Styela clava: one gene and its partners. The protein of the gene in region 3 interacts with the protein of the main gene of each other region in a pairwise test. Links are inferred from orthologs where the notes say so. Each region holds a gene or a part of one and is shown on either strand. Other genes may lie near its edges.

Evidence for each region.
Region 1: the proteins of cell division cycle 5-like protein (region 3) and dixin-like interact in a two-hybrid assay, tested with the Homo sapiens proteins (2 studies listed by BioGRID and IntAct). The link is inferred for Styela clava from reciprocal best matches to the Homo sapiens genes CDC5L and DIXDC1.
Region 2: the proteins of cell division cycle 5-like protein (region 3) and TRAF3-interacting protein 1-like interact in a two-hybrid assay, tested with the Homo sapiens proteins (2 studies listed by BioGRID and IntAct). The link is inferred for Styela clava from reciprocal best matches to the Homo sapiens genes CDC5L and TRAF3IP1.
Region 4: the proteins of cell division cycle 5-like protein (region 3) and pre-mRNA-splicing factor SYF1-like interact in a two-hybrid assay, tested with the Homo sapiens proteins (2 studies listed by BioGRID and IntAct, with this or other methods). The link is inferred for Styela clava from reciprocal best matches to the Homo sapiens genes CDC5L and XAB2.

Annotation. Positions count from the first base shown.
Region 1 is NC_135264.1:14,176,130-14,184,153, reverse strand, and holds the start of dixin-like, read left to right. Parts: upstream 1-5,012; 5' UTR 5,013-5,053; coding exon 5,054-6,964; 3' UTR 6,965-8,024. Other genes in the region: thioredoxin reductase 2, mitochondrial-like, read right to left, coding at 596-666, 927-1,065, 1,434-1,508, 1,922-2,066, 2,537-2,665, 3,148-3,232. UniProt on the Homo sapiens protein: Positive effector of the Wnt signaling pathway; activates WNT3A signaling via DVL2. Regulates JNK activation by AXIN1 and DVL2.
Region 2 is NC_135261.1:18,105,739-18,112,630, forward strand, and holds the start of TRAF3-interacting protein 1-like, read right to left. Parts: upstream 3,025-6,892; 5' UTR 2,987-3,024; coding exon 2,864-2,986; intron 2,153-2,863; coding exon 2,084-2,152; intron 1,397-2,083; coding exon 1,235-1,396; intron 692-1,234; coding exon 579-691; intron 1-578.
Region 3 is NC_135252.1:11,955,313-11,963,032, reverse strand, and holds the start of cell division cycle 5-like protein, read left to right. Parts: upstream 1-4,713; 5' UTR 4,714-4,791; coding exon 4,792-4,940; intron 4,941-5,388; coding exon 5,389-5,593; intron 5,594-6,294; coding exon 6,295-6,433; intron 6,434-6,506; coding exon 6,507-7,720.
Region 4 is NC_135255.1:19,051,470-19,059,133, forward strand, and holds the start of pre-mRNA-splicing factor SYF1-like, read left to right. Parts: upstream 1-4,642; 5' UTR 4,643-4,683; coding exon 4,684-4,778; intron 4,779-6,399; coding exon 6,400-7,664. Other genes in the region: small ribosomal subunit protein mS26-like, read left to right, coding at 2,836-3,474. UniProt on the Homo sapiens protein: Involved in pre-mRNA splicing as component of the spliceosome. Involved in transcription-coupled repair (TCR), transcription and pre-mRNA splicing.

The DNA of each region.
Region 1 (8,024 bases), on a different chromosome or scaffold from region 3:
TGAATGATTCATTCATGATAAGTGTAAGAGACACACTTAGGCTATGAATTACATATTTATCCCGAGGGAGATGAAAGCCGATAAGACGATCATATCGCGAACCAGTCCATGTCGGGTATGAGATTAGTTAAACAGTTATTTTTAGCATGTACTTGATGGTGGAGGAAGCCGTAACCGACCAGCTGTTACGTGAACCACTCTACGTCAGCGAGAAGTCCAGCAATCCTCTCGCACATAACTATCTCCACGCGGATTCGATGCAAACCCATGTAGGTTTTCAGAGGTGCGGTGGCGAGCGTATTCTTAACACTTAGCACGATGCGCCACACCTCCGAGGCACTTACAATAACACTACTTATTACCCAACTTTCAAAGTATGAAAGGATTGTTAGCCAAATTACAACCACAGAGAAGTTTACAATTCAGCACCCAGGGGTAAGTTAAAGATTGCTGAACTCCTGGTCAGTTACGACTTCTTCCACTGTTCGTGCATACCATGAATTGGATTGGTAATTACCAAATGAAAAGCTGTGATTTACCATATGATCAGGACGTCACATCAATTATAATAAATCAAATCTTAAATTGAACCTACGTTTTTCCAGGAGGTTTTTTCTTCCAAAACAAATCATCACTAGTGATACAGTGTTCCCTTGCACCTGGAAACTAAACAAATACCTACTTGAATATCAAGATTTTTCATATATACAAAGTAGAATTATCACAAGCATAGCTGACCATTTCAATAATAAAGGTAGGGCTGTAGAGTGGCGGAAACTTATGCCTGAGCCATATAGAACTCTAACTGTTTCCTAGTTGATTGGTTGGTCGAGCAGTCTTGATTGTATATTATGCCGAGCATAGCACTGTACATAAATGCTAATTCACTAATTCGTAATTAAAAAGCAGATTTCACTGATTCTCACATTAGGATATCTTGGTCTTCCACCGACAGCAATGACAATATTATCACTTTGTAAATAGATCTTGTCTCCATTTTTCTTCGTACCTCTCACAGTGTTTGCGTCAACAAAGCTTCCATATGCATTGTAGTATTTCACTTTTCTGACAAAAATATAGGAAAGGATTTACATATTTATTCCGAGGGAGAGGAAAACCGATAAAGCAGCTTAATCATATGGCACACGGACTCTCGTCGGGTTAACAGTCAATGTCGGGTATGGGATTAGTTAGCCAATTATTTTTGTTTTCAGATTCATTCTTGACAATACTCTGCTACATGATCTGAAGCTAAAATGTCCAAAATAAAAGAAAATGTTAAAAAAATATGGTCATTTGAAACGATTTGGGTTTTAATGTGTTTGTATTTCTGTCCATGACTTTTCATAAAGCACATAAAATGGTCTCCATTACTAAAAAAGCAGTATGCAGGTCGCGTTTTCTCAATAGTCAAGCAACTCTGAGATTATTACCTTTCATTTAATTGTACTTTATGTCCCCAATTTAATGATCTGACATGCATCTGCACTGCATGGCTCAGCTCTTCCCTAAAAAAAATATTGCGATTATAATTCGCTTATTGCATTGCATGTCAATTTAAAAATATTAAATTCATTTCTTTCCATTTTCAAATAGCAAATGACTACATAAAAAGTTCCCGTCCCATACTTGAATATATAGGATCGAATTTACAGGTTTCACACATTTATCCGAGAGAAAGGAAAACCAATAAGACGGCTTGATCATAATCACCCAATGTGCAGATATACCAAATCATGCAATTTCTAAAACATTCATAAATACATGCTGAATGGTTGGCACAACCACTCACACAAATATTATAAAATTTAATTAAAGAAAGGATGAAATCAAACTAAAACATTAATAAAAAAAGAGTGAAGGTGACAATTCTAATTTATAATGTATTTTGACTTTTAAATCCTATAACCAATATTCATACCAATTATTTGTTATATCTCCTGGAATATTCCAACCAAACTTTCTTGCGTCATGTATTGAATGACCTAGTAATGCAGCTTGATGCATCAATTTTTTCGGTATGCAACCAACATTCACACATGTGCCTCCAATGTCCCATTTTGTGCCTGATAGAAACAAAAAGTATTTAAATGGCCAGCTCTAAGACAGTCACAAACAAGCTTGGGATAACACTACACCTGGTTTAAATGTGAATGATAATAAATTATAAGGAATTATTTATCTATTGAATGTTAATATTCTATCCAATTCAAGAGTCCTGCTGCACACTGACACAAATGTGATTCTGTAACGTTTCGTCTGACCAGAGTCAAGACTTCCTCAGACAAGCAGTTAAAACAATGGCCAGAAATGAACAATCATACAGTTTAAATAAAGCCATTGCAATCTAAACAAATAATTTAGTTGAGTTATAGCACTTTTCTATTGAAACACAATTACTATGCCATGGAGGATAGATGACGATCAATAGATGCATATAAATGTCTTGTCTGGAGATTCCATGACTGACCATCTATATTGCAATAACAGCTTGAAAAACACAGAATACCAATTTGATACACAAATGTTACGTTACCAATTGGTGTGGGCTTTACAAAATCCAAAACAGCAACAGTTTTTCCAAGATCAGCCGCCTCTTTTCCACAAGCCAATCCACCTGATCCACCACCAATGACTATCAAGTCATATTGTTCTTTTTGTGCACCTACAAAAGATTTATGCAACATATTGATGACACAGCAATATAATTTATATGCTATTAATCAATTTTATTTTTAATCATTCTTACATAAAACAAAACAAGAATAAACGAACAAATAAAATGCAGAGTATCTTGAGGGCGAGCATGCAAAATAATAACTATTGTACATGTACAACGTACATGTATGAATTTCTGCAATGTTTAAAATGTGCAACAAATTTACTTAATAATTGTATCTATGCAGAGGTGTTTGAATATGATTATATCAGTGCATACTTAGTTCATTATTAGGCTATCCTATCCTCTATAAATTTAAGAATTATATTCAATTCCCATCAGACTGCAGACGGAAACATGGGATCACAAGATTAGGAATAATGACAAGATTCCAACAAATTTGCAATAAAATATTGCAATTCCTTAATTCTGTGTCATAAACCAATGTTGATATAGGCTGTTATCTAAAACATAATATTAAAGCTTACCCGAAGAAAACTTTCGCAAATGTCTCCACAGAAGTCTCCGGTAAGTCGGACAAAACCCCTCCAATCCTCGTAAAGTCAGCATCATAAACCCGCTTGTTGGCTGAGATAGAATTAAAAAAATCCGCGAGATGGTACAACTGCGCACTCCTGATATTTCAGTATTTTTCAATTCTTCAGATTGCTTGTGATTTGCTTTGTCTTCGTTTGTATTTGGAAAAAAAAAGAATTTTCACGGAGTGGGAGTGGGCTAAACTGTTTTACAACTGGTAAAACGTTCAGGGAATCAAAAATACTGAAATCAAAATTAGCGCGTCATTGACCGCGACGTCACTCAAAACACTTCGCTTTGGTTTTCCGTTTGTCTTGTTGTTAAGCTTTTTACTAAATGGTAATTATGACGGATTATCATATTTTGTAGTGGACCAAATTTTCAATTTGGGCTCAATCAAGTTAACGATAATTTTTAGTTACCTTGTTAGTCATTAATTGAAGAATTAGGCATTACGTCTAAGAATTTAAGCTCGTTATACTTATAGCCTACAATCCAAGTGCTGTGCATTTTGACATGTTCAATTAAGTGGAATTCTCCGTTTAATACTGAATTTTAATGTGATCAATAGATTAAATGTATGGTTCCATTAATATTCATCAGATAATTAGCGGTATTATCCATTTAAATGCCTGACTAGGATACTGAAATGCATTTTGTGAACCTCGATCGGATTTTATCTTCGATAATGAATGAGATGATTCATTACGGTACCGGTACTGGTGCGCAATAGAAGATATAATGGTGATGCAGTATATTATATAAGTGTATCGCAACTTTCAGACCAGACAATTTGCTAGTTTCTACATCTGTAAATGGTAGACCTGGTACCACTTTCCTTTTAAATGCTGTAGATATGAGAGAAAATATAGCTATATAGTAAAAATAGTCAGATAGTAAGTTTATCAACTGTCATGTACAGTTTATCAACTGTATTAGCATGATAAAAGGGTATTAAGAAATTTCAGACCAGGGAATTCCAGAATAATTTAAATTGGATATATTTGATGATATTGTAAATCATTACAGTGTTAACCTTCCAAAGTGAATATTTTTGAACATAAATTGGCTTGTGCCGAGTTCCTTGTTTATCTTTACCAAAATTAGAACATACGGTATTTCATTGTCCGTTGTTCAGTAATTGAAAATATTGTTCAAAATACAAGATCACTTAATTCTGGCCATCCATAGTTTCGAATTTTCTATTTTTTTATCATAAAACCTAATAATTTTGTTTCAAACTAATCATTCTCGCATAAATCAATAGGGCCCAGTTCTCTCATTCCAAGATGTCTCGACTCCAATAAAACAAACACTTCAAAAGAGGCATCTGGCATGTTGGCAGATGCGCCATGCTTGCTAATCTGCAAAAACTCTTGAAAGCTTCGCTAAATTTTTTTTCTTAGGTAAATCAAATTATTTTTCCCCCAAGAAATCCAATTGACGTTTTTAGATTGTGCTTTCGTTTAGTTCATTGCGTAGTGCCAGTTTGTCGATATGGAGGTATAGATTGTCTCGTAAAGGAGTGGTTGGCACTCATTGCTATAATTGATGTCTTTCAATGTGGGTCTATCCCAGATTCGGAGAATTGTGTCATACTGTAAATCAATATCAGGGCAATTAGAGTCTGATATTAAAGGAGCCTTCTTTTGAGTGAAGGTGTGAAACATAATTAAATGGTAATAAAGCGTACAAGGTACCGAATATTTCTGCCTTGGCGATGTCTATTTCAAGGGTTGTCCAATGCTCTGAATTCATACTTGTCTTTCTGATGTTTTGATTGTATTAAATTAAAATTGATATTTTCATTTTTCTTTTTGGATATTATCGATATAGTATTTTTCTAAAAAAAAGGCAATGTCTGCCGCTACTGATGCCAATAACAGGCAGGATGCTTGGGACAATGAACAGAATGAGGAATATCAAAAACAAATTGAAACTTACATTGCTTGGGTTAACAGCCAGCTTAAAAAGAGAGCAGGGAATAAGCCTGTAACGGATTTAAAAACAGATTTCCGTGATGGAGTCGTTTTAGTTACACTAGTTGAAATTATTTCCGGAGAAAAATTGGATGGAGTTTATATTCCTGCGAAAAATCTTGAAGAAAAAAGACGAAATATTAATTCAGTATTAAAGTTTTTGACGAAGAAAAGTATCCGAATGCATCACATTACTGAGAAAGATGTAATTAATGGTAATGTCAAAAGTCTGATGAAATTAATTCTGACCTTGGCCGCACACTTTAAACCTGCTAGTGTCGGAAAAAAGAAAACGGTTAATGCAGCTGCAGCAGCAAATGCCAAAGTTGCACTGAGTGATATTCACAAAAATGTAAGCTTATCTGGAGGTTTTCGCCCTCGTTGGAAGAGCAGCACCCCTACCTCAGACTATAGAAGAAACAATAATAGCAGTTCCAGTTCATCCAGAACCACATCAAACCGGTCAGATCTGCCAAAAACTGGTTCAGACGAGACAGATTCATTTTCATTGAATAAATTATCTTCTTCTGATGACGTTTGGGCATCACCAAGTTTACCTCAGCGGTCCAGTAGAACTGGCAATGATTGCCTTGCGACAACAACGGTGCAGAATCTCTCTTCTATAAATAGTGAAGTTATACTGACATCTGGTGGAAGCAGGGATGCATCGAATGTTTCTGAGCAATTGACGGAACATTATAATGATTTAGAAAGTGATTTATCGAGCACTTGTGATTTAATATCAGTGTTACAAAATTTACTTTTAAATGGAGAGGAACCAGGCGATGGTGATAATGAGCAGAGTCTTCCTTTAGAAGCTTCTTCCCAAGACGAAGAAAACGTAATTCTAAGAAGTCGACTTGATTTGAGTCAACATGAAAATAATCGATTGAAAACCGAACTTACCGATGTACGACAAGAATGCAGGAGTACATCAGCAAACATATCAGCGCTGCGTAGTCGTACGCAACAACAAGAAAAAGAGCTCTTGTCAATGAAACAACAAATTTTGAAATTAAATTTGGCGAGTGATAATTTGAAACAAGAAAAAGATTATTTAGCAGCTCAAATAGAGGAAAATAAACGGGCAAAACAATCTCTATCAGATGAAGTGTCGGAAAAAAATATTACCATTAAGCATTTAAAAGATGAACTAACTTCAATGTCTACACAACTCAAAAAAATTGGAGACGAAAGTAAGAGTAAATTAACCTCTATGCAAAGGTTGGAATCACAAGTACAAGAGTTAAGTCAACAATTACGGGTTTTACAGCGTTATAAACAATCAAGTAAACCAGAACGAAATGGTAATGAAACGACTGTCATTTCAGAGTCTCTAAACAGCCTTCGTTCGAATTTAGCACCTCATGATTCACGACAACACATTATTGACACGCTTGAACAAGCAGTGATGTCATTAACGGAACGAGACCAGCGTAACAACAACCAGAATTATGGTCGTAAAAGTGAACTATCAGTGCCACGTTTATCTGCGAGTCATTCACCTAGAAATCGTAAAAAAGACATGGCGCAAAAAACTGCGTCAACGACGGTTATTTACTTCACAGAGAGAAACATGACGCCAGCCAGAGCTTCAATTTTTAAAAAAATTGGCGAAATAACTTTGCGAGATTTTAAAAGTGTAATTCAAGTACCTGCCGATAATTACAAATTCAATTTTAAAGCACTTGACCCAGAATTTGGGACAGTAAAAAAGGAAATTTTCAATGATAATGACATTGTCCCTGGTTGGGAGGGTAAAATTGTAGCATGGTTAGAAAGAGAATAGACGCTAGAACTCAGATTCACACAATTTTTATTCTTTCAGACCTTAGCCCACTGTCTATTCAAGTATCCCAATTCAAAAACTGTATTTTAAAGTTACATTTTTCCAAATTAAATTACTGTTGTAATACTTAGAGCCTATAATTCCGTTATTTATAGAAAAGCTATTTTCTGCAATAGCAGTCTCATTTGCTAGGTTAATGTATTAATTAGTCTTTATATAAATACCATTATACTGTAGGAGTCATTTGCTAGTCTTCATTAAACTGATCGTATATATATATGTATTCATATGATAAAACCAAAAATTGCTCAATATTGTTATGAAATAAGTACTAAATAACATATTGTTTAATCAGTGGAAGATGACAATAAATGCATTCAAATAAGATCATTTGAAAATACCATTTTGTGAAATTAACTCATCATGTAGTGGAATCTTTAATTCAATTCATATAATTTGGGTTATATCATGATATCAATGAAAAAAAGGCTTATTAGGAATAACCATTCTGTTATAGACATTCATATACTACTGCTATAACAATTTATATCATTCTTTATTGGTGCTGATGACAAAGTATTTTATTTCAAGTGTTTAAGTGTAATTTCATAGTTCCGAAGACATCGCCTACCTACAATATAATATATTTCAATGCATTGCCGCAGTATTATTGAATAAGCTTCTGTCACATTTTAAGGTTTTGCGAAAATCGCATTTTTCTAATTTCCATATCTTCATAGCAGGGGTTCTTAACTTGGGGCCGCAGAGCAGTTGGAGGGGGGGCCACAATTCTAGGGTCTTGAGGGCTAAAAGCCTCCGGGTGGGGGCCACGAGCCATAAACGGTTGGGAACCACTGCTTTATAGCAAAGTCTAAAATTGACATAAGGCACTAAGATAAATACAACTTTGAAACTTATACCGAAGGGGAGACCCTGTCCATAATAACAGAAGATTAATAAAGTCTGTTTCTGAAATGTGACATATGCTACTATAATTTTACTGTGGTTACACAATATCAATTTTGTCTACACATTTTTACTTCGAGGGTATAATTATCTG
Region 2 (6,892 bases), on a different chromosome or scaffold from region 3:
GCCCGCCGCTTCATTATCTGTGGCTCGTGTCACATTCGGAGAGTAATCAAAAAATAGCATTTCGAATTGTTTTGTAATAAAATTAATCAGAAAAAAATCTTTTTACATATTGTTACACCACTAATGTCACTGAATTGACTAGTGTTATGGCTAGTTGAGGCAACTAGCGAAGTTGAATGATGTGCTTGACAGTCTAAATTATTATCTGGCTTTCTATCTTTTTGGTCGGGAATACATGCTAACAATAGAAAACTAAAAATCTAATGCGGATTCTATTAGCCTTGGATGGCAATGTCTGATAACTATGTGTTTGCACAATAAAAGCGTCTGTTTTGTATTGCACTGTTCACCTAATCCTGGCACTATTGAGGCCTGCGAGCAATGCAAAAATGATTTTGTGGCCCGCGGAGCTGACAACCTTAGACCACCCTGTTCTATGGCATTGCGTCAAAGCATCTGTAGACCATTTACTTTAAAGCATGTTTACAAAATATGAGTGTTTATTGAAGGTCCAGCAGCCACTGTTTCAAGAGTTGGTATTACAAAAAAAAAAAGCTGAAATTCATTTTAATAATAACCTGTTTTCTTTTCCTTCTTTCTTTTTTGAAGATCCAGTGGGAGGTTTCTCTTGAACTTTTGATGATGTTTTCTTACCAGTGAGGACTTGTTGAACTGCATCATCTGATGAAACCTATATTAAATTTTGAACAAAATATTTGATTCTCTTCCTAAACAAGATTCTAGTCAAGAAAACAAATACACAAAAATATCAGAAAAATTAGACTTAGAACATAGTTAGCATGTGTCTCTTTGGATTTCAAATAAAAAGTTGTGGCTAATGAGAATGACATCATTTTTTCCCCAAATAGCAAGTATATTATGGAGGTTTTGTTAGATGACAATACATTATGTATTATTCACTGTTTAATTAGCTTATGTCTCGTTTTATCTGAAGAAGTTAGGGACTATAATCTAATGGAAGCTCTCAAATATGCTTGCTATTTCATGGGGAGAGATTATGATATTCTTATTTATCTTTCAATACTATCTCGTTCAAGCATCCTTGTGGCAACAACCACTTCATATGAATCTGAAGTAGGCAATGAGAACAGACCTGCAGTTCGATACACAATTTCCTACTACCTCTAATGAGATGTTTGAAATCATGTTTCCTACAATTAGCACTTAGTAGTAAATTAAATTTCAATTATGGTACTAATGATCAACAACATACATTTTTATGAATACATTTAGCAATCGCTTGAAGTAATTCATTAGTTTTCTCAGGCTCGTGTCCTGCGACAATTTTTGATGGTCTAGCAGCTAGTTGGTCACCAGATACTATTGACACAACGTCGATAACTTTTTGAAGAAATGCCATTTTATCTTCTTTTGCCTAAACAAAGAAGAAACTGCTAGTGAAAAGTGTCCATGCATCTGTATGGAGTAAATAACATAACTATCTAAAAACTGAAGGGTAAAAGGATGAGAAGACTTGGATGGCCATGCATGGGTTATTAATGGCAACAGTGTTTTCCAATCGAGGTGAAATTTAACCCCAAAGAAAAAAATTTATGTTTTACCTGAGGAAATTTTTCTCCATAGTATTACTAATATCTTTTACTTGTGTGATATTATTATAATACATATTTTTGCCTACATTATAAACTATTCAAATAAAGCATACAAAACTCAGAGTGCAAGTTATGCAGATCACTAGTTTATAATCCATTATTGATTAAAGAACAACCGAAAACAGAACTCTGACATGTTGGGGAAATGAGCCAAGGGGAGAATGTATCAAAAAAATTTGGTACCACTGGAAGATATTTTCTTGCCCTGAACGATTACAAAAATTTGAAGGCCGTAAAAATCTCTCGCTTTCCATGTATAGGATCCCCAACAAAATAAAAATTAAAAATTTTTTGGTTAAAATTCAGAATAGGGCCTTATTTCTTTGCTTAACAGAGAGTGGCTTATTCACGGCAAGATGGTTTATCTAAACTAATAATTACTGTTTTTATTCCCATCATTTATGATGAATGCGATAAAAAATTAAATTATATCTGACTAAACAACTTACAGACACATTCTTAGAATCCATCTCTGATGAAGTAAACAGTCCATTTAAAAATCCTGTTGTTCTGATCACCTAGAAAGTTTGCATATTTGTTATAACAATAATCAACAGTACATTATTAGATATCAGCTAGTACAAACAAGACGGCGCTCCAGAAGTGTGTGTTCCAATATTGAGGTAACTAATTTTGTTCGCCTACTCTACATCAAGTTGTGTGGAGGGACTGAAACATATGGGGAGGGCCCGAACTCGTTACTGAACTAACATAAGGAAAATCGGATTAAATTATGGCCGAACCCTAACCTGGTACACACACTAATTTTAATTGTAATCATTCTGTCTTTATGACTGTATTTAGATCAGAAATCGTATTAGTCTTAAATACAGCTGAGCAGTAAAATGTGAGAATTTTTTACAAAAACTGTCATTTTCAAAACCCACTATCGAATACCCTGAACAAATCAAATGGGTTATGGACAAATATGATAAAAAATCATAATATTTTGTAAAAGTATTTTCGTTTTTTCCTTTGTGGTACTAATTGAGTAAATTATCACATTAACCATTAACAGCTTTTTTCTATTTTAAACCCAAAATATTGATGATGTTTGGCAATTATTATTTGGAATAGCCAACTATTTCATATATTGATTGATATGCCAATCCTCGCTTTTAAAGGATAGTACATGCTTAATTTAGGAGGCAAATAATTTTCATCAAAAGTCACACCATCAAGATCGTAATTTTGAGATATAACTTATTCAAAAACATTTTCATACAAACCTCTGTGAATATATCATGTAGAAATCGAAACGGTGGTTTTGAAAGCAACTTGTCCGTCAGTGGAGGTTTTTTAATAATCTTTCCGAGAGTATCTCTCGTCTTTTTCATTACTTCTTCTCCCATTTCGAGTATGATTATTCAAATTTAGTATTATTGCTCAAAATCTTTAATAAAAAAGATGTATATTGGAATATAAAGTGTATTGTATTTACAAATTTCGAAACTTACCAATTTCAGAATTTTTATGAAATTTGTTTAGAATGTTCACCAAATTGGATAGGATAGGATTTACATAATTATCCCGGGGGAGAGGAAAGGCGATAAGACGGCTTATCCATATGGCGAACCACGGCCTCTCGTCCGGTTACCATTCCAAGTCGGGTATGGGATTAGTTAGTTACACTGTCTTGTTTGTTTTCGGAAGCATGGACTTGGTGGTGGAGGAAGCCGTAACCGACCAGCGGTTACGTGAACCACCCAACGACGGCGAGGAGTCCAGCAATCCTCTCGCACATAACCATCCGAGCATGGGATTCGAACCTGCGAACCCACGCAGAGTAATTAGAGGTGCGGTGGCGAGCGTATTCCTAACGCTTAACCCGTTGAGCCACACCGCCGCGCCTGTAAATATAATAAAGTCAGACAACTACAGAACTAAGTAAGAAACAAAATGCTGAAATGCCAGTGATACTGCTGTACCGTAAAGTCGACTACCGGCACCGGTACATTAACAAAAAAAGCAAAGTTCTGATTCCTAAGTCAGAAAGATAAAGTCTGGAAATACCAGTACCGGTAAGAGGTAGTCACAGGTATTCCTGTTTCCACATTTCCTCATAATTCTTGAGTGAAAGCTGAGATAAAGCATTTAAAATCTTAATGGTCAAGACGACCACTTTCTAAGCTCTAACTAGTGCACCTCCTCCTACATTTCAAGTAATTAATTAGGCCCGAAAACAAATGAAAAGCAAACCCTGTTTCCCTTTATATCTGTCCCAAATGTGATTTTATTTGGGTTACGGTGTAAATCAAGCTGTTGTTATGTGCGTTTAGGTCACCGCTTCGAGGCGCTCTTGATTTGCGGCCATGGTGTACTCCTTCGTAGGCTTAAATTGTATACGTATAAGTAAAAGTTTATTTCGACTCCATAATCAGCAATAGACGATAAAGCAATTGATAAAAACAAAATAAATAAAACTGATTACATGGTCGGGAAAGCAAACGAAACTTCAAGCAAGGTTTAAAGCGTACATATTTTAGGTGGAGAGGTATTGATAAAAGAAGTAGTACGTCTTCGCTCACCCAAAAGTATCAAAACTAATAAACGCACGCACACACACACACACACACACACAAACATACAATCGTCGAAGCATGATAAGGTCGGGAGTGAAAAAAGCGAGACATAAAATCAATTACTCAGTAAGAAGAAAATTGGCAAACAAATAAAAAAAATGAATAAATTCTTTTCCCACACGCCAGGGATGGCCAATTCGAATAAAGTATTCGAATATCACGTTTCCGAATATCGGAATTAACGTTCATAAGAATATCGGATATTTGTGTGACGTCACACATTTTCGACGCCGCTTTCAAGACGTTTCCGTTGAATGAAAACATTCTCGATTGAAACTTGCGCGTGATTTTTCCACAAATTTGTTCCACGATAACGATGACAATTATTTTATTTTTGTACCCGCACAGAATTGTGAATCTGGTAAATACGTTCATCGGCGGCGAGTTTCTAGAGACAACGCAACTTTTTGATTGAAAAGCGGCAATTTAAAATACTGAAAATAAAACCGTAATCGATATAAGTTTTACTGAGGCCCGCGAAAATTTAAAAAACGCTTTTCTACGCAGTGAAAATCGCAAAATTTCGTGTGCCTCTGGCACACATTATGTTTGGTCGTCGTTTAGAAACATATCGTCACGAATTGAGGGCGGGATTTGCCTGAATATCCATTACTTTAAATTGCCGTCGAATAATGATACAAGGTTTGAAACGCGACTTTTTCCCGGGTTCTGAGGATGTATATAATATAATTAATCTAAAGTATATTCAATCAATTTTATTGTGATGAAATAAATTTTACTCTGAGATGTTACAGCAGATTTATGGGTTTTTCGAACGGTTTTATCTAAAAATAATCAGAGTGGCAGCATTTCGATTGAGCGGAGTCACTAATAACAAGCAGGCTACATCTAAATATTTGCCGAATTCGCAAAATAGGGATCAAAACTTTAATTAATCGGGCAGTTTACCACACGTTTCTATTTTTATGACCGCGGGTGCAATGGTATATAAGAGTGGTGAGGATTTTATTCTGTCGACGCAACCGCAGGTTAAATTGAAGACAATTAAATTAATAAAGCAAGACATTTTAAATATGCCCGAATCGGTCACGAATTCATCACTTTGCACAACAGAAAAATATGTATTCGTTGTCATATTATTTGTTGTAAAAGTTGACTCTTTTAACAGGTGGTATAATCGCGGCGATGAATATGTATTTTTAAATTCACTGCTAAACTTTATATGTATATTCATTGTATGAAACGAAATATACTCTACACTTAACAAGATTTTATTTCATTATTTGGGATTTTTCTAACGGCGATAACGAGTTGGCAAGATTGCAAAAATACGTATTAAAATTAAGTACATCAGGCAGTTTATTTCGTACTTCTAGGTCACAGATCACCAAGGACCGAATAGTAATGTTTTTTTTGACGTAAGAAGAAGAAGCCGCGAGTTACGTTGGACACATTAAATTAATATATAAAGATATTTTAGAATCTCGTAGTTGTCATGGATTGAATATTTTACGTAACAGGATGATCATTATACGCTGAAAAGACGGCTCTTTTAACGAGCGCAGAATCGCGGTGGGTGTTAAAGGCGGCAATGGGAATTTCCGATTTCGAAAATTCTGGCTGCGCGGCTGGCAGTGATGGTCATCCATCCTCTAATAATTTATTTCTAATTTCAAACACAACAATATGTTACACATAATAACAATATGATTCACATAAATTAATATACAAATATACTGGTAAGAGGTAGAATACTCTAGGCTTAAATATTAGAATTTTCGAAGGCAAAATGGATTTTCGATTGTTGTTGCTTGTTTCATTTGTCTGTATTGCCAATAAATTTTATTACTCTTAGAAAATATACACAATTATCTGAAGTAGTATTTTGTCAATAGACTTGACTATTATCGAAATATCATGGTACCAATGATAGAAAGCGTCAGACAACTCCTTGGCTATCTTTTCATATGGTCATTTGTACAGAGTGAATAATTTTAATAAACTGACTGTGTCACAAGTTGCTATTATTTTTTTATTGATAGCTATGAGCTATCAATTACTTTGTGTACATATACTGTTGGTTTGTGGCTTTATTCTGATATTTCTATTGAAGCTTATTTCCTAATTTACTGGGTTTTAATAAACTAAAACAAAAATGTGTTATTTTCAATTTTAGAATGTATCCGGAATAGCTTAGTATTCGGAAATGGCCATCCCTGCGGCCACACCAAATAATAATTGGATTGCCGAATTGGATACCGAATTAGTCAAAAAAGAGTTATATACTGTGGATAGAAAAATATTCCTCAAAAGATATCGTCAAGCTGATTATAATTGGAGTCACCTAATTCCAAATTGCCCAATCAGAATTGCCAAGTTGGATGCATGAAGAGGTGGGCTACCCCTGCTTCACTCACCAGATAGAAGCCAAAACTAACCAAATTAACGTCCAAATTATTTTAAATATTGTTAATCAATAAAAGTACCGGTAATTATAATTAAAATTAATTAGGGCGGTATGATACAGAGGTAGGAAACTTGGTTACGGGAATATATAGAATATATATTAAATGTTCAAGTAAGGTTTCTAAAGTCATGGATTGTAAACAAGCAAATTTAAGTGAGGTTGTTGATCACTACGGTCAGTTCAAATTCATCACGGTTGATTCATTTTATGTTGAATTAGCTAGCTTTTAAATTGATCATCATGACGTC
Region 3 (7,720 bases):
GTATATATTTTTATTCACACCTGACTAGGCTAAAACCAAATATATAAATTTATACAGCAACAATTGTTTTATAATTTATATGATGGTCATCGCTTGAATCAAACTAAGTGAAATTTTGGACCAACAAATAATCCATTTTTATATAAACGAGTTTCTTTTTAGATTGCAAAAGCAAATACCAAACATAGATATAAGCTTGGCATTAAGAAAATGAAGAATGTAACATTTTATAACATGATAAGGTAGCCTGCCATATGACCGAAAAATGTGAATACTATTCGAAGAATCTCGGCCTCATCAATTACAGACGTGCACGTGTGATTTTCCCGATAATTATTTTTATATGAGTCCGTGCGCAGAATTTACCAAGATAGTTTTGATCTAGGTATATATGTATCTTGAATCCCTTTTTCAGCAACGCCCAAACAGTTTAGTTTTCCATGGATCTTGACTATCTTTGCCATTTCCTCACATTGCACGCTATCTAAACTATCTATCTATCTTTGTATCAGATTGAATAGGTCATTATTTGTTTCAGTATTTTGAAGTGCAACAGACCGAAAGTTCGTTATATTTGGGTATATTTTGGTTATTTCTGGCCCAAGAGGTTTGTGTGTCTGTGGGTTCGTGATATTTCTCGTGTAATATAGAGTTTTCAAAATAAACTTTTCTTTTTTACTTTAATATATGTTTTTATCAGTGGCGGCGCGTCAATAGGGCCAACCGGGGCAATGCCCCGGTTGTTTTTTCGGTATAATAAAAAATATTCGAAAAATACCTCAATATCGGTTGCACAGACCGTCTACACTAGCCATATTCTCCCGACATGGTTCATTTTTCGCTCGCAAAGCCTTCGCCGAACGTCGACGGGGCGACGCCGATTTTGCTCATTGTATATCGTATTCTCTCTTTTATCTTCCACTCGCTCGTTTGTTTTCTGTTTCTTTTACTAAATCATTGGGCCGATCGGGGCTAGCCCCGAAATTATGACGACACAATACCGGCGTTTCTTACAACAACGTGTTGACATATTCACGCATTCCTTCTCGTTCGTTGGTTGCTTGAAGAGTTGATAGTTTCCTCGCCTTCGTTTTTGTCGCTTGTTTCGCTATTTGAATCAGTTAGAGACTTTTAGTCCATTTGCTTTCGATTTTCCACATTCCTTTTGAGCTCCTCACTTCTTTCCGGCTTCGCATTTCTTAGCCTTAGACCTCATAATGAATAAGGTTGATGCACTACTTCGCACTCCGTTTTCGCAGCTGCCGCTGGAACAAAAATTAGAGGTACAACGTCTTGGGCCTTATCAACCAAAAAATTGTTCACTGGAACAATCCCATGACGGAGGAAAGCGTCGGCGTACATTCTGCGCAGAAACTTGGTATAAAAAAACACGAATGGTTGTGTTACAGCGAGGACAAAAATGGACTTTTTTGTTTTTATTGCCTACTTTTTGCTACCGCCCGTGACTCACGTTGGTGTAAATTTGGTTTTAGAGATCTTAAACATCTTTCCGAGCGTGCCAGGGATCATCAATCTTCTATGGAGCATCTGGACAATGCAGTAAAATACCGAACATTCGGAAATGTTAATATTGCAGCACAGTTGGATGAAGGACGCGCGGTTTCTATTCGTCGGCACAACCAAAACGTCGAGAAAAATCGCCATGTTCTCGGTCGATTGATAGATGTTTTGAAGTTCATTGGTTTTCACGAGCTGTCCCTCCGTGGGCACGATGAACGGGCTGGCTCTTCTAATAGAGGGGTATTTTTGGATATGGTGGAATACACCGCATCCCTAGATACAGTATTGAGAGATCATCTTGATGCCGCAACTGTTTCGAAAGGGACATCTAAGGATATCCAAAATGATTTGCTCGACTCAATGTATAAAATTTATTTACAACATTTGGCTCTGGAAATTGAGAATTGCCAGTTCCTTTCGATTCAGTCTGACGAGACAACTGACATCACGTGCGTTTCCCAACTGGCTGTGATTTTTCGGTTTGTGAAAGATGGTAAACCTACCGAGAGATTTCACAGCTTTGTACCAATCGTTGATCGCACGGCTTGCGGGATATCGGCTGTACTGAAAAAAGTGTTACAGCCTTACAACGCGAAGTCAAAATTGATAGCTCAAACTTATGACGGCGCGGCAGTCATGAGTGGGTCGAAACATGGTGTTCAAGTTTATTTAAAAGACGATTTTCCTCATGCGCATTTTTTACATTGTTATGCACACCAATTTAACCTCGTTATTAAAAATATGTGTCTTGATACCCCTTTCGTCCGTATATTTTTTGCAAATGTTTCGGGGTTTTCTTCATTTTTTTCCGTTTCGCCGAAGCGCTCTGACCTCCTTCGCCAGATATGTAGCCGCCGTCTCCCAGCTTGTGCACCAACACGTTGAAACTTCCAATCACGCGTGGTGCAGGGCGTGTCCGAAATTAGGTCTGAGCTCGTTGAGTGTTTCAATGGCATTCAGAGCTATCCGGTTTGGGACGAACGCTCTGTGAGGGAGGCGGCAGGTCTAAAGCGTCTGCTAGAAGATGGTGAGTTTTTAATTTTTTCTCGCTTTTTTCTCCACAATATTCTATCACGTGGATGTATTATACGGCGCATTGCAGTCAAGGCTAATGGATGGAGCGTCTGTGCAGTCGTGTATTTCAGACTTCTGCGATGCTGTATCTCGTATCCGGGAAACAATAAAATACGACGACACATGGAGTGCTTCTTTACGCCGCGGGCAAACAACGCAGCGTTTGATTTTGTCTGCAAAGGAATGCTGTGACATTCTTGTGAATCAAATAGGCGATCGTCTGCGCACTGAACACCTTGCCGCGTTCTCTTTGATGAATCCCAAAAATTTTTTAAAATTTGCACGGTAATTTCCCATCCATTTGTTGGCTACTGTTTCCAAATTTTACCCCACGTTAAACGTGGGTAAATTGGAAAATGAATTGCGATGTATATACACCAATCAAACTTTTTTGAACATCACATCAACTTGCGCGCTCTATGGGTTCCTCATAGATAACACTCTAGTAACTACCTTTGCGGCGTCTGCAAAATTTCTGGACATCATTTTGACGACGCCTATTTCTTCCGCCGACGCAGAGCGAACATTCAGCACGCTGAAGCGTAATAAAACGTATCTCAGAAACACAATGAAGCAAGATAGATTAAATTCCTTGGCTGTTTTATCCATTCACAGAGACGTTATTTCTGGGATGCATGACTTTAATCAGCGCGTTATTGAGCATTTTGCTTCCAAGAAACCGCGGCGTGTTGCATATATGTTCAAGCAGTAGAAGTCTAGCAGCATATATATCCATGAGTGAGCGACGCCTGTCTTTATCTTTGCATTAGCTTTCCTTTCTTCATAGTAACGTTTTAAACCTTATTTTAGGTTTTGTCTGCTTTCCCGAAGTTTCTGTTAATATGTCATTGTATTTATCTGGGTAAATATTGCCTTTCCTTTTGAAAGAGGTTTCAAAACGATTGAATGGTTTTTATACTCATAAAATGATGGGAGAACTTACAGCGCTCATTCTGTCCCCATAGATGGGGGTGACTTAGTCCCACAGTAGCTTGCCCCGGTTGTCAAAATGACCACGCGCCGCCACTGGTTTTTATGTGTGTAATATGGGTAAACTGACACATGTGTTTCTGCGTGTTGTAAACCACATCACGGGTTTTGCCAGTTTTTTCGATTTTCCAATCTTTTGCGTGTTCATTGTTTAGTGTATTTTTTTTTCAAGAAGGTTAAAATAAACTTATATCCAAAATTCTGACTCCGAGAATTCAAAATTTCGACTCTGACAAGTTTGCAAATACGACTCCTACAAAAACATGCCAAAGTTTGACTCCACAACTCGCAAGTCTATCATCAGTGCATTGGTGACTACATTGACTGACTTTATTAGTTGCGTTTGATGTAATTTTTAAACACACAAGCGAATTGCAACTTACTACAGTCAGGTAGTACCGGTACTACAATATAGGCTACCAGTAAGATTTATTTCGGCATTCTGATAACGCACCACTTCATCCAACAATAAGCTAAACGGTTTGGCAGAAACGCATAAAAACGAGAGGTAGGATTTACATAGGATAGGATTTTACATATTTATCCCGGGGGAGAGGAAAGCCGATAAGACGGCGTATCCATATGGCGAACCACGGCCTCTCGTCCGGTTACCATTCCAAGTCGGGTACCGGTATGGGATTAGTTTTACTGTATTGTTTGTTTTCGGAAGCATGGACTTGGTGGTGGAGGAAGCCGTAACCGACCAGCGGTTACGTGAACCACCCAACGACGGCAAGGAGTCCAGCAATCCTCTCGCACATAACCATCCCTGCATGGGATTCGAACCTGCGAACCCACGCAGAGTAATTAGAGGTGCGGTGGCAAGCGTATTCCTAACGCTTAGCCCGTTGAGCCACACCGCCGCGCCATACCGTACCGGTACCGTATATATCGCGGAGAAGAGGGAAAACGATAAGACGGCTTGATCACATGCTGACATGGCTGCATGGCGAACCACGGCCTCCTGCCCGTGGTGCGCGATGCGCCACATCTCCGAGTACAAGAGTACGGTTACAAATGGTACAGAAATACAAAAAAATGGTTCTCTGTCTTCAGGCCAAGGTACCGGAAATAGTAACAGTAACTGGCTGACTGGACAGGACTAACCATTACGGTATTACTGTATCAACTCGTTAAGCTACTGCTTCTTTCATTTCTATAGTCTACTTTACCCTAAACATAATATAACAGTGATACACTGGTAAAATGCCTAGAATAACAATTAAAGGAGGTGTGTGGCGGAACACAGAAGATGAAATTCTGAAAGCTGCTGTAATGAAATATGGTCTGAATCAATGGTCTCGTATTGCTTCTCTACTTCACAGAAAGTCTGCGAAGCAGTGCAAAGCTAGATGGTAAGAATAAAAGAACCATCGTTTTACTCTTGCTGCTATTGTGAACTGCTCTGACACTGATATCAACCATATTTTTTCATTAAAATTGCACGGCGAAACATTGCAGAACAAGTTTGGCTACAGTTACTGCAAAAAGTTTTTTTTTCAAATTTTACGTGAAATTTAAAATATTTTGACATTCTCAGCGCAATGATGGCCTTTCATTTAGGACAACCCAGTGGCGTATGTAGGGTATAAAACTCATGTTTTTACTGAAATGATAAGTACAAGTATCTCAATTCAAAATCAGCCATTGAAAATTGTCAGCTAGCGATGAAGGGGGCTTTTCTTAACTCTGCCATGGGTGCCATTTTATATGGATACGTAACTGCAGAACAGGGACAACTTCACACAAAAAATGCTAATCATCTGGTGAAAAAGACTTCAGACATAATATGATTTTTTGTAGGTACGAATGGCTAGATCCGAGCATCAAAAAAACAGAATGGTCAAGAGAGGAAGAAGAGAAGCTTCTTCATTTGGCCAAGTTGATGCCGACACAGTGGCGTACAATTGCTCCAATAGTAGGGAGAACAGCAGCACAATGCCTTGAACATTACGAATATTTACTTGATAAAGCTGCTCAGAAAGAGGATGAAGATGACGATGCTCAGGTTTGCCATGTTTTATAACTAAATGTTTATTACTTCAAATGTAATTGGTTATGTATTTTTTATTGAAATTTAAAAAATTTTGAATGGATGAATTTCTTTTTCATGAGAGCTTTTCTTCTAAACGTTGACAGTATATAACAAGCTACTACTGGATTTTGTTTTCTTTTGTGAACCAACTTGTCATGTTCCGTATTTTACACACTATGTTAGATGGTTATTCCAGACTCAACTCTGTATTGACTAGTAATCGAATACCGATATGCAGAATGCAAGGCCATTCGAATCTTGAAAATATTATACTCTAATGAATTGTAAAAAATTCCATTACTAGTTCTATACTAACTTTAAATTCAAAATTGTGTTATATTTTGGGGGTGTTAGATGCCCCGGAATTATGTTAAAATAAGATTGGGTTGGATGAAATGGGTGATATTGAAAAAAGATGTTTATGTTCTGTGCATGATTTTCTAAAACCCAATGTTATACGCACAAAACTATGCAACCTTTCTGGAATTTTATGCATGTTTTCAATGCTGCAAACAGCTGTTTAATTAACATTTTCGAATGCAAAGGACCCATCACAAAGTCAAAAATGAATGCAGTTGTAATTATAGATTGGGGGTCGGCAAACTAAGATAATTCCATTTTGTCATGCATATAATTGTAATGTGTAGCTTTTATGAAATACGTTCATATTACAGGATGATCCAAGAAAGCTTAAACCTGGAGAGATTGATCCAGCACCAGAAACTAAACCTGCCAGGCCTGATCCAATTGATATGGATGAAGATGAATTAGAGATGTTGAGTGAAGCAAGAGCAAGACTTGCGAATACTCAAGGTCATTAGATATTATTATTAAAATTATGCGAATTTCAATATACAGTATTGGCTAAATGTTTGAAATATTACAGGTAAAAAAGCAAAGCGAAAAGCAAGAGAGAAGCAGCTGGAAGAAGCCAGAAGATTGGCTTCACTTCAAAAACGTAGAGAACTTCGTGCAGCTGGTATTGGAGTTCGTAAAAGGAGGCGAAAGAAACGTGGTGTTGATTATAATGAGGAAATTCCTTTTCGTAAGCTTCCTGCAGCAGGGTTTCATGATACTTCTAATGAGACCTTCAATCCAGATGATCCAGATTTCAAACGTTTGAGACAGGAACATCTTGATGATGTCAGCAGACAAAAGAAGGAATCTCAAGAAAGAAGAAAAGACAAACAAAAAGTCAAGGATAAAGAGCTGCCTTCTCTAATAGCTAAGCCGACAGAACCAGTTAAGAAACGGTCCAAACTTGTGCTTCCTGCTCCACAGATCTCTGATGCAGAATTAGAAGAAGTTGTAAAGCTTGGTCAAGCTTCTGAAGCTGCTAAACAAGTTGTAGAAGAAGGAAATGCTGCTTCTGATGCTCTACTTGCAGATTACAGTGTTACTCCAAACGTATCTGCAATGAGGACTCCGCGCACACCAATGATGCAAGTTGATACTGTTATGAAAGAAGCCCAAAATATAATGGCGCTGTCCAATGTTGACACTCCTTTGAAAGGTGGACTGAACACAGAAGTGACCGATAGTGATTTTTCCGGGATCACTCCGCAACAGAAATACATTCAAACACCAAATACAGTTATTTCTACACCCTTTCAAACTCCTGCTGATAAAAATCCAGCAGCGACACCAGGTATGCTGACTCCGGCTTCTAGCATTCGAAATACACCTGGTATGACACCAGTCAGGGATAAACTTAACATAAATGTAGAAGGTTCAGATGGGGGAGCCACTCCATTTGATGGAATAGATGAAAGACAGCATTTGAAAGCCTCCCTCATAAAGTTACCTGCGCCTAGAAATGATTTTGAAATTGTTCTTCCTGAAGATATGAATGGTGAAGGGGAAGAGGAACATCATGATAATATTCCATCTGATTTTATTGAAGATGCTGCCGAAATAGAGGCAGAAAAACAAGCAAAAATAGAAGCAGCTAGAGCGGCTGAACTTGAGAAAAGGCACACTATTATAAAAAGAGAGCTGCCAAGACCTTCCGTAATAAATGAAACTATTCTTCGACCAATGAATGCAAAAACCAAAGCTAACTTAAACTCGCTTCAACTTGCTGAAGAAGAAATAAAACGA
Region 4 (7,664 bases), on a different chromosome or scaffold from region 3:
ATGATAAGATAATATGTATAAATAAACAAACTAGCGCAAGTTCAAACAAAAAGGGGACTATTTAAACAATGATTTATATACAGGCGGGTGCCTACTTCACGTACATATTTTTTATCAAAAGATATCATCGTGCTGAGCGGTTGGACTACCCGGCTGCGGTTCGCTGGTTCCCGCCAACGAATAATCATTTATGCTGGGAATACCAAAGTCCTCCCCCCCGTAGGGTGGTTCATGTAACCGATAGTCGGTTGCGGCTTTCTACACCATCAAGGCCAGGCATCTGAAACAAATAACCAGTGGCGCATCATTCTGAGTGTTAGGAATACGCTCGTCATCGTACCTCTGATTGCTGTACGTGGGTTCGCAGGTTCGAATACCGTTGGGATATTTATGTGAGATAGGATTGTCGGACTCCTCACCGCGGTAGGGTTGTTCACGTAACCGCTGGTCGGTTGCGGCTTCTTCGACCATCAATTCCAAGCATCTGAAAGAAATACCTAGCTGACTAATATCATGTCTTACCCGAAACGGAGTGGTAATCGGACGACACACGGTCGTAAACCATCTTATCGGCTTTCCTCTCCCGGGTGAAATATTTCAATCCTATCTAAATTCGAACTGAATAACTAATTCTCCAGTCATATGATTGAACTGGCTTATCAACTTTTCTCACTTCCAGGAAAAAAATGAAAATTCACATATTGCTGTATAGAATAGTTTCCAGTAAATTCAGGATGCCCTATTTCACGGTGAACCGCGGACATTCATATGCCTTTGTTACGTCGATTAGCATTTTTTCGCTAAGCTTCAGCTTTAATTACGATGGCGGAAGTAGACAATTAAATCGATGTAAAGGGTAATGTACACGAAAATGACTCGATTAATGTTATGTGAATAAACTTGCTTTTCATGTTTTATGTAAATTCTAACGTAAATCGTAACTTGGCTGATAGTTAATTTGCGCAAAAACGTTTGCGGCACGCATTGAATTTTTGGCTCGTTGTGGACTTATTCAACCGCTCCGCGGACTCAAGTTGGGAAACACTGCTCTAACAGCTAGCTTGTGCGAAGCGAACAACGCGTGTCATAAAATGAATATCCATGAGGCTCAAAAAGTTTTAAAGGTTAAATGGTTCAATAAAATAATCCCGAATTGGAAATAATTTAAAAACGTATTTATACTTAATAAAACACAAGTATCTCAATCCAATAACTATCGTTGAAAGTTGTCAATCAACGATCGAAGGAGCGCATTTTTAAACTTTGTCAAAAGACCCATTTTACGTAGATATGACACTACATATCTACATCGCATATTGTACACTATTCAGTCTGTACAAAAGTCAGATTGCGAGGTGCTCATACTGTTTAGGAATAGTTAAAAGTCTGAACAGTTAACTGAAATAGAATTTTAAACACCGGACTGGAGGTTTGGCGCATCACACTGACGTTAAAAATACGCTTGTCATCGCTCTGTTCCCTAAAAATAATTTTGTTCTTCACTGTCGCATTATGCTTCACGTTCGTGTAACTCATCTGTTAAGTATTCGAAACCCAAAGCAAATGTATGTTTACGTGGGTAATATTGGTAAACTGGCATATATATTTCACGTGTTTTCAAATCTTGATAAAGGTTTTGTTAGTTTCCCAATCTTCTGTGAGTTCATTGTTTTGTGTAGGTTTTTTTACGGGAAAATCAAAATAAACTCATACTCATAAATAACTATCACCCTATCTCGTCGCCACTGGAATCCCAATATTTGTTGAATTTCAGCAATACTACCTGTTACTACTGTCAACGTAGTCGGTAAATCCTGTAATTTTTTTCTATGAGTCAACTGACTTAACGAAGGAAAAACTTTGAAGTGTTGGAGATGAATTTTTTTGACCTATGACCCCACTAACATTTTATTTGGTGCTTCAGCATGTGAAAAATACAATTGAATAATTCCATGCCGGAATTGCTCTGGAATTGAGTTCGACAATAAAAGGTTTCTCGGGGTTATTTACTTCTGTGAATGCTGCGTTGGGATAACGTTTTAGATTCGTTATGGAGTGAAGAAAGCCAACGAGTGAGCACTACAATAGGTACGTTGTTGCAAGACCTTACGCAGTACCGGTACCGGCACGGCGGCAAAACTGCAAGAACTCTTAGCAACCCACTCGTTCATTACCGGTATCATCTTTCACTAGATTCAAACCTGCGAACTAACACAGGGTACGGTATCGTAATCAAGGTTGCGGTGGTCAACGTATTGCGCATTCATAACAATTAGCACGAAATCCTATATTTATATTCCAGTTCAGTCAGTCGGTGTCATTCAGTCATTCAAATAACTGAATACCGGTAGTGATTCCATGTTCATGTTCTGATGTTGTCTGTGTTGTAGGCAACATTTCTACTATTACAAATCATAGTAACATGACTCACTCACCCGATTTAACTGAAATTCCTTATTATATATGTATAATGATCATTTTCTAAACACTGAACCAGTTATGAAAAGTGATGATACCGGTATTAGAATTTTCACACTTATGCACTTTGGTGAAGTTGAGATTATTCGTGTCTAGTGTAGTTTCGTACTTCAAGTACTTGGCATATGTCAGTTCTAACCCCAAAAATTGTTACCCTATGCCAACTATAAGTACTTGAGGTATGAAACTACTCAAGACCAGATTATTTTGTTACAGGCATTCAAAATAATAATGGAAAGTTATTGGACTCTGATTTTGCATCGCTTCTTTTAAAATATTCCAGTTCATACCGGTTTAGATATGTATAGATACCGTAATTGATTTACAACAGATACCTTCAACTGCAGTTTCTATAGAATGGCTCTGGTACGAAGCAATATTCTGAGCCGAGTTTTTTATAAGCCTTCCATGCTTGAAACGAAACTTCATTTACCACTTCTTGAACAAGTCCGATACCGCAAGCCGAAGTGGTTACTACCACGTCGAGCACCTTCAAAAGCAGGGATATATTTTAATAAACCGAGACCTACGGAACATGATGTAAAGAAAAGTGAATTAATCTATAAATCTTATAATGAAATGCTGAGATCAATAGCTGCTGCTTTCCAAGAAGAAATATTGATAAACGAAGCTAAAAAGGAATCAAAAACTGTCTCAAAAAATAGTTTCGATGAACAAAGCCACCATGAAAAATGTATGGCGTATAATGAAGCTCATAACAAAGAAATGCGGGAAAAACGAGAACAAAAACTCGATCGAATATTGGAAAACCAAGAACAACAATTGAGCCAGAAAGTCAGTTTATTAGAAAAAAAATTCGAACATAAACTTGCTAAATATGAGCAAGAAGTTTTGACAGCGATAGACGAATCTGAAAATTGGATTAGCGAGGAAAATTTGGAAGAAAAAATTGAAGAAGCTTTAGACAATGTGGTTAACTTTAATTTTGCTGTCAAAAGAAATGGCAGAATTGCGTTAAGAACTGTGATACCATAGTATTTTAATCTGTGATGCTAGAGTGCATGGGATTCATAGAGTCTTGTTACAATTAGAAAACATTGGCAACTGACTTCATAACGAAGTTTTGAAATTGCAACTGGACTTTATAATCTTTTGTCATCATTGAGGCATTACATGTGGTATAACAGTGAAAGTGCTGCTATATGTTACTTGTGTGCTTAAGGTTCTGAGGTGCACATAAGGTGCATAATTGACGATAACAGTGTTTCCCAACATTTATGGCTCGTGGCGCTTTTAGCACTCATTGCCCCCCTGTTTATCATTCCAGTGGGATTCAAAGTGTTATTTTGATTGGCAGATTCCAAAGCCTATTAAATGTTCAAACAATTCATGCTCAACGAAGTGAAAAGACCCTGTGAAATAAGCTTATCAAGCTATTAAAAAGAAGAACAGGGTTTTTCATTTAGTAAAACTGAAATGAGTTTTGCGGCTAGCAATGTGGCCCCTCTCCAACTGCTCTGTGGCTTCCTTAGGGAGCCACAGGCCCGTGGTTGGGAACCAATGCCACAGTATTTTCTGCTGTGGTGCAGTACATGGTGCTTATAAAGTCTTGTAACAAATACAAAATATTGAGAACTGACTTCATGACAAAAATTTTAATTTGTGGTAGTGGTAGGATCCCATGAAGATCCTGTCTATCTTTTGTTTGGGACCTGGTTTAGTATGATTCCAACTTCGTCCTCTGGTGGGAATCATTGAGACATTAAATCAGTGTAACAGTGAAAGTGCTGCTATATGTTACTTTTTTTGTTGATAAGGTTTTGATTAATAAATCGTACAAAAGTTGGCTGGACCCAGGTTTGAATAAAATTTTGCTTTGTTTGAAGTTTCGCTTTCACGACTGCTAGTAAACTCCAGTACGATTTGATTTCAATCTAACCCTAGAACCAAATATCTTATTTAATGTTTGTGGCAAAATATATTTCATCCCAAAATGGAGCGTCTTTATTAATGAACTGTTCTGTAAAATGAGTATCGATATATGCTAATGCTCAAAATATTGTGTGAAGGTATTCATGCCGTCTTTTTTTATCTTATAGTCTTTAACCCATAGGAAGGACTGAATTCCTGATAATACATTCTTTATGTTTTGGAATCATCTTCATCATTTAAACTCTAAAACTATGTGTTCCTATTTTTATCTTTTAGAATTCTGTACCGTTAGACCTATTGTAGAATAAGAATATGCCATCTGTGGATGAGCTGGTCTTGGAAGAAGATGACCTACCTTATGAAGAAGAGATATTGCGCAATCCATTCTCTGTCAAATGCTGGCTGAGGTAGGTTTATTTATTACTTATCGATCTTAAGATCGGTAAGTATATTGATAGGTATTTGTATGTATGTCTGTCTGTCTGTGTGTGTGTGTGTCTGTTAGATGCGCGCGATATCTCACGAAAGCGAGATTGAATCTGCTCCAGATTTTGCATGTGCATTCATCTTATCTCGGACCAGATTCCTATTGATTTTGGGCGAATTATGTCGTATAATTAGCGAGTTATCAATCAATTATTGATTAAGTGATCTAGATTTTTGTAAAGCGAGAGGATTTTGAGACCCGCCGAGTGTGTGTGTGCGACGCGCAGTGCGCAAGTTACACGAGCGGATGAAGCGGATGAAAACTGCAGTGTCTGTTTTGGGGGATCCCCTAACTATCGATCGATAAGTATTCGGTTTCCAACCGATATTCTCGTTGGTTTTTTAATCACATATTTAGAATTAGGCTATACATAAGCGCCCACTGCTAGGTCGGGATCTACTATTGATCAAAAGAGCCGGAATCTTTCTGGCTCGACATTGCCTAGACATGACATGGGCAAACAACGGCGAATTCAATCTGATGCTGCCACAACCAAACTAAATTTGTATTTTGATGTTTTAGGAAAAAATACCTCGGAAATTTGTCGAGATTGCGATAAAATTTGGTTTTGTCACGAAGCTCATTGTTTACATTTTTGCTTTTGTAACACTGTAAATAAAATTCTGTTTATAAAATGTAACTTTTAATGTCATTCTTACATGGCCCCCAAGTCTTGGTTGGCAAAATTTTTGACCTCTGGTTCAAAAACCTTACTCAACCGTGGCCTAGCAGGGTGAGGTGACTATGGAATTTGAACTCCTGATTTCAACTTGAAGTGTAACGCTTCAACAACTAAACCCCCCCGACTCAGGTTTGTGTTCAATGATCAGAACATGGACTTTGCTAAACTTTTATTTTCACTATCAAGTTGTTGTGTATGCTCTATGTAATTTTACATTAGTCAATACCACCCAGATGTTACACCTGGAGGGTTATTAGTCGTTAATGAATATGATCCACTGGAAACCGAAGTATAAAGTACACCTTAGCTTGGAAGATTGTTTGTCGCTTGCGATAATTTCCTTAGCGTACAAATTTACTGAAAGATTAAGGTCTGAAACGATTAAAGACAGATGGCAAATATCTGTGACTTTACAACCCAATTCTCTATGTATTATCCGCACCTGGATATAATGTGCAAAACGACCCACTTATACCTCAAACTCACCCATCCAAATTCATGCCATTCTGAAAATTCAGCATCTCTGCAGAGCGATTTTGACACTGTAACCCGCCTATCTGCGCCACTGCTGAAATCCAATTATTCTGTCTATACCCATGTTGCTTGCTGATCTTCCAATGTTATTCCCTGCAACAAATACGTATTGCTTCACATCAGGTGAACAAGCAGGCAACGATTGTTATCGACAACAGTTATTTGTGAATAAACTGTTCTTTATTCATGGTTTCATATTGAGTTTTGAATCTGTGGCCCAGTAACCAAGTCTATTGAATATAAGGATAGTATTATAGTAAAAGAAAGCCCACCCCGACTCTGAATGCTTTATATGCGAAAGTCCTAAGTTATTTATTTTTTTTAGGTACATTGATCACAAAGAAAATGCACCTTATAAGCAGCTCAACATGGTCTATGAGAGAGCTTTGAAAGAACTTCCTGGAAGCTATAAGTTATGGTACAACTATCTACGAATCAGACGAAGCCAGGTTAAAGGTCGATGTCCTACGGACTCAATGTTTGAAGAAGTTAATAACGCACATGAACGAGCGTTAGTTTTTATGCACAAAATGCCCCGGATTTGGATAGATTATTGTAAATTTCTTGTGGATCAAAGATGTCTGACGAGAACGCGTCGTACTTTTGATCGCTGCCTTGAAGCTCTTCCAGTGACGCAGCATGATCGGATTTGGCCGTTGTATATTGAATTTGTGAAAAAATATCCCATTCATGAAACAGCAGTTCGAGTTTTTCGTCGAATGCTGAAACTCATTCCAGAAGAAAGTGAAGACTACGTGGAATATTTAATATCGATCGATCGTTACGATGAGGCAGCTACAAAACTTGCGGAAATTGTTAACGACGAGAGTTTTGCGTCGAAACATGGAAAGACGAATCATTTACTTTGGCATGAGTTATGTGAACTCATTTCAAAGAATCCTGATAAAGTACATTCGCTAAAAGTCGAGGCAATTATTCGTGGTGGTTTAAAACGTTTCACTGACCAATTAGGACAACTTTGGTGCGCTTTAGCTGATTATTACATCAGAAGCGGACTTTTTGAACGAGCGAGAGAGATTTACGAAGAAGCAATAGAAACTGTGACCACTGTCCGTGATTTTACACAAATTTTCGATGCGTACGCTCAATTTGAAGAGTCCGTTATTAGTTCGAAAATGGAAGAGGCGGCTGAAGAGGAACAGAATGAAGAAGATGACATTGATATTGAATTACGACTCGCAAGGTTCGAACATTTAATTACGAGACGTCCATTACTTCTCAATAGCGTCCTCTTGAGGCAGAATCCACACAATGTAAACGAATGGCTTAAACGAGTCGAGCTTTACGAAGATAACTTAGCACAGGTCATCAATACATACACAGAAGCTATACAGACAATAGAAATACCAAAATCCGTTGGAAAGATTTCTAATCTCTGGGTTTCCTTCGCTAAATTCTATGAAAAGCATGATCAAATTGACGACGCTCGTACAATTTTTGGAAAAGCGGTCCTCGTGTCTTACAAAGGCGTTGAAGATCTGGCCACCGTGTGGTGTGAGTGGGCTGAAATGGAACTACGACACGAGAATTTTGATGGCGCAATCAATTTAATGAAACGAGCGACTGCAA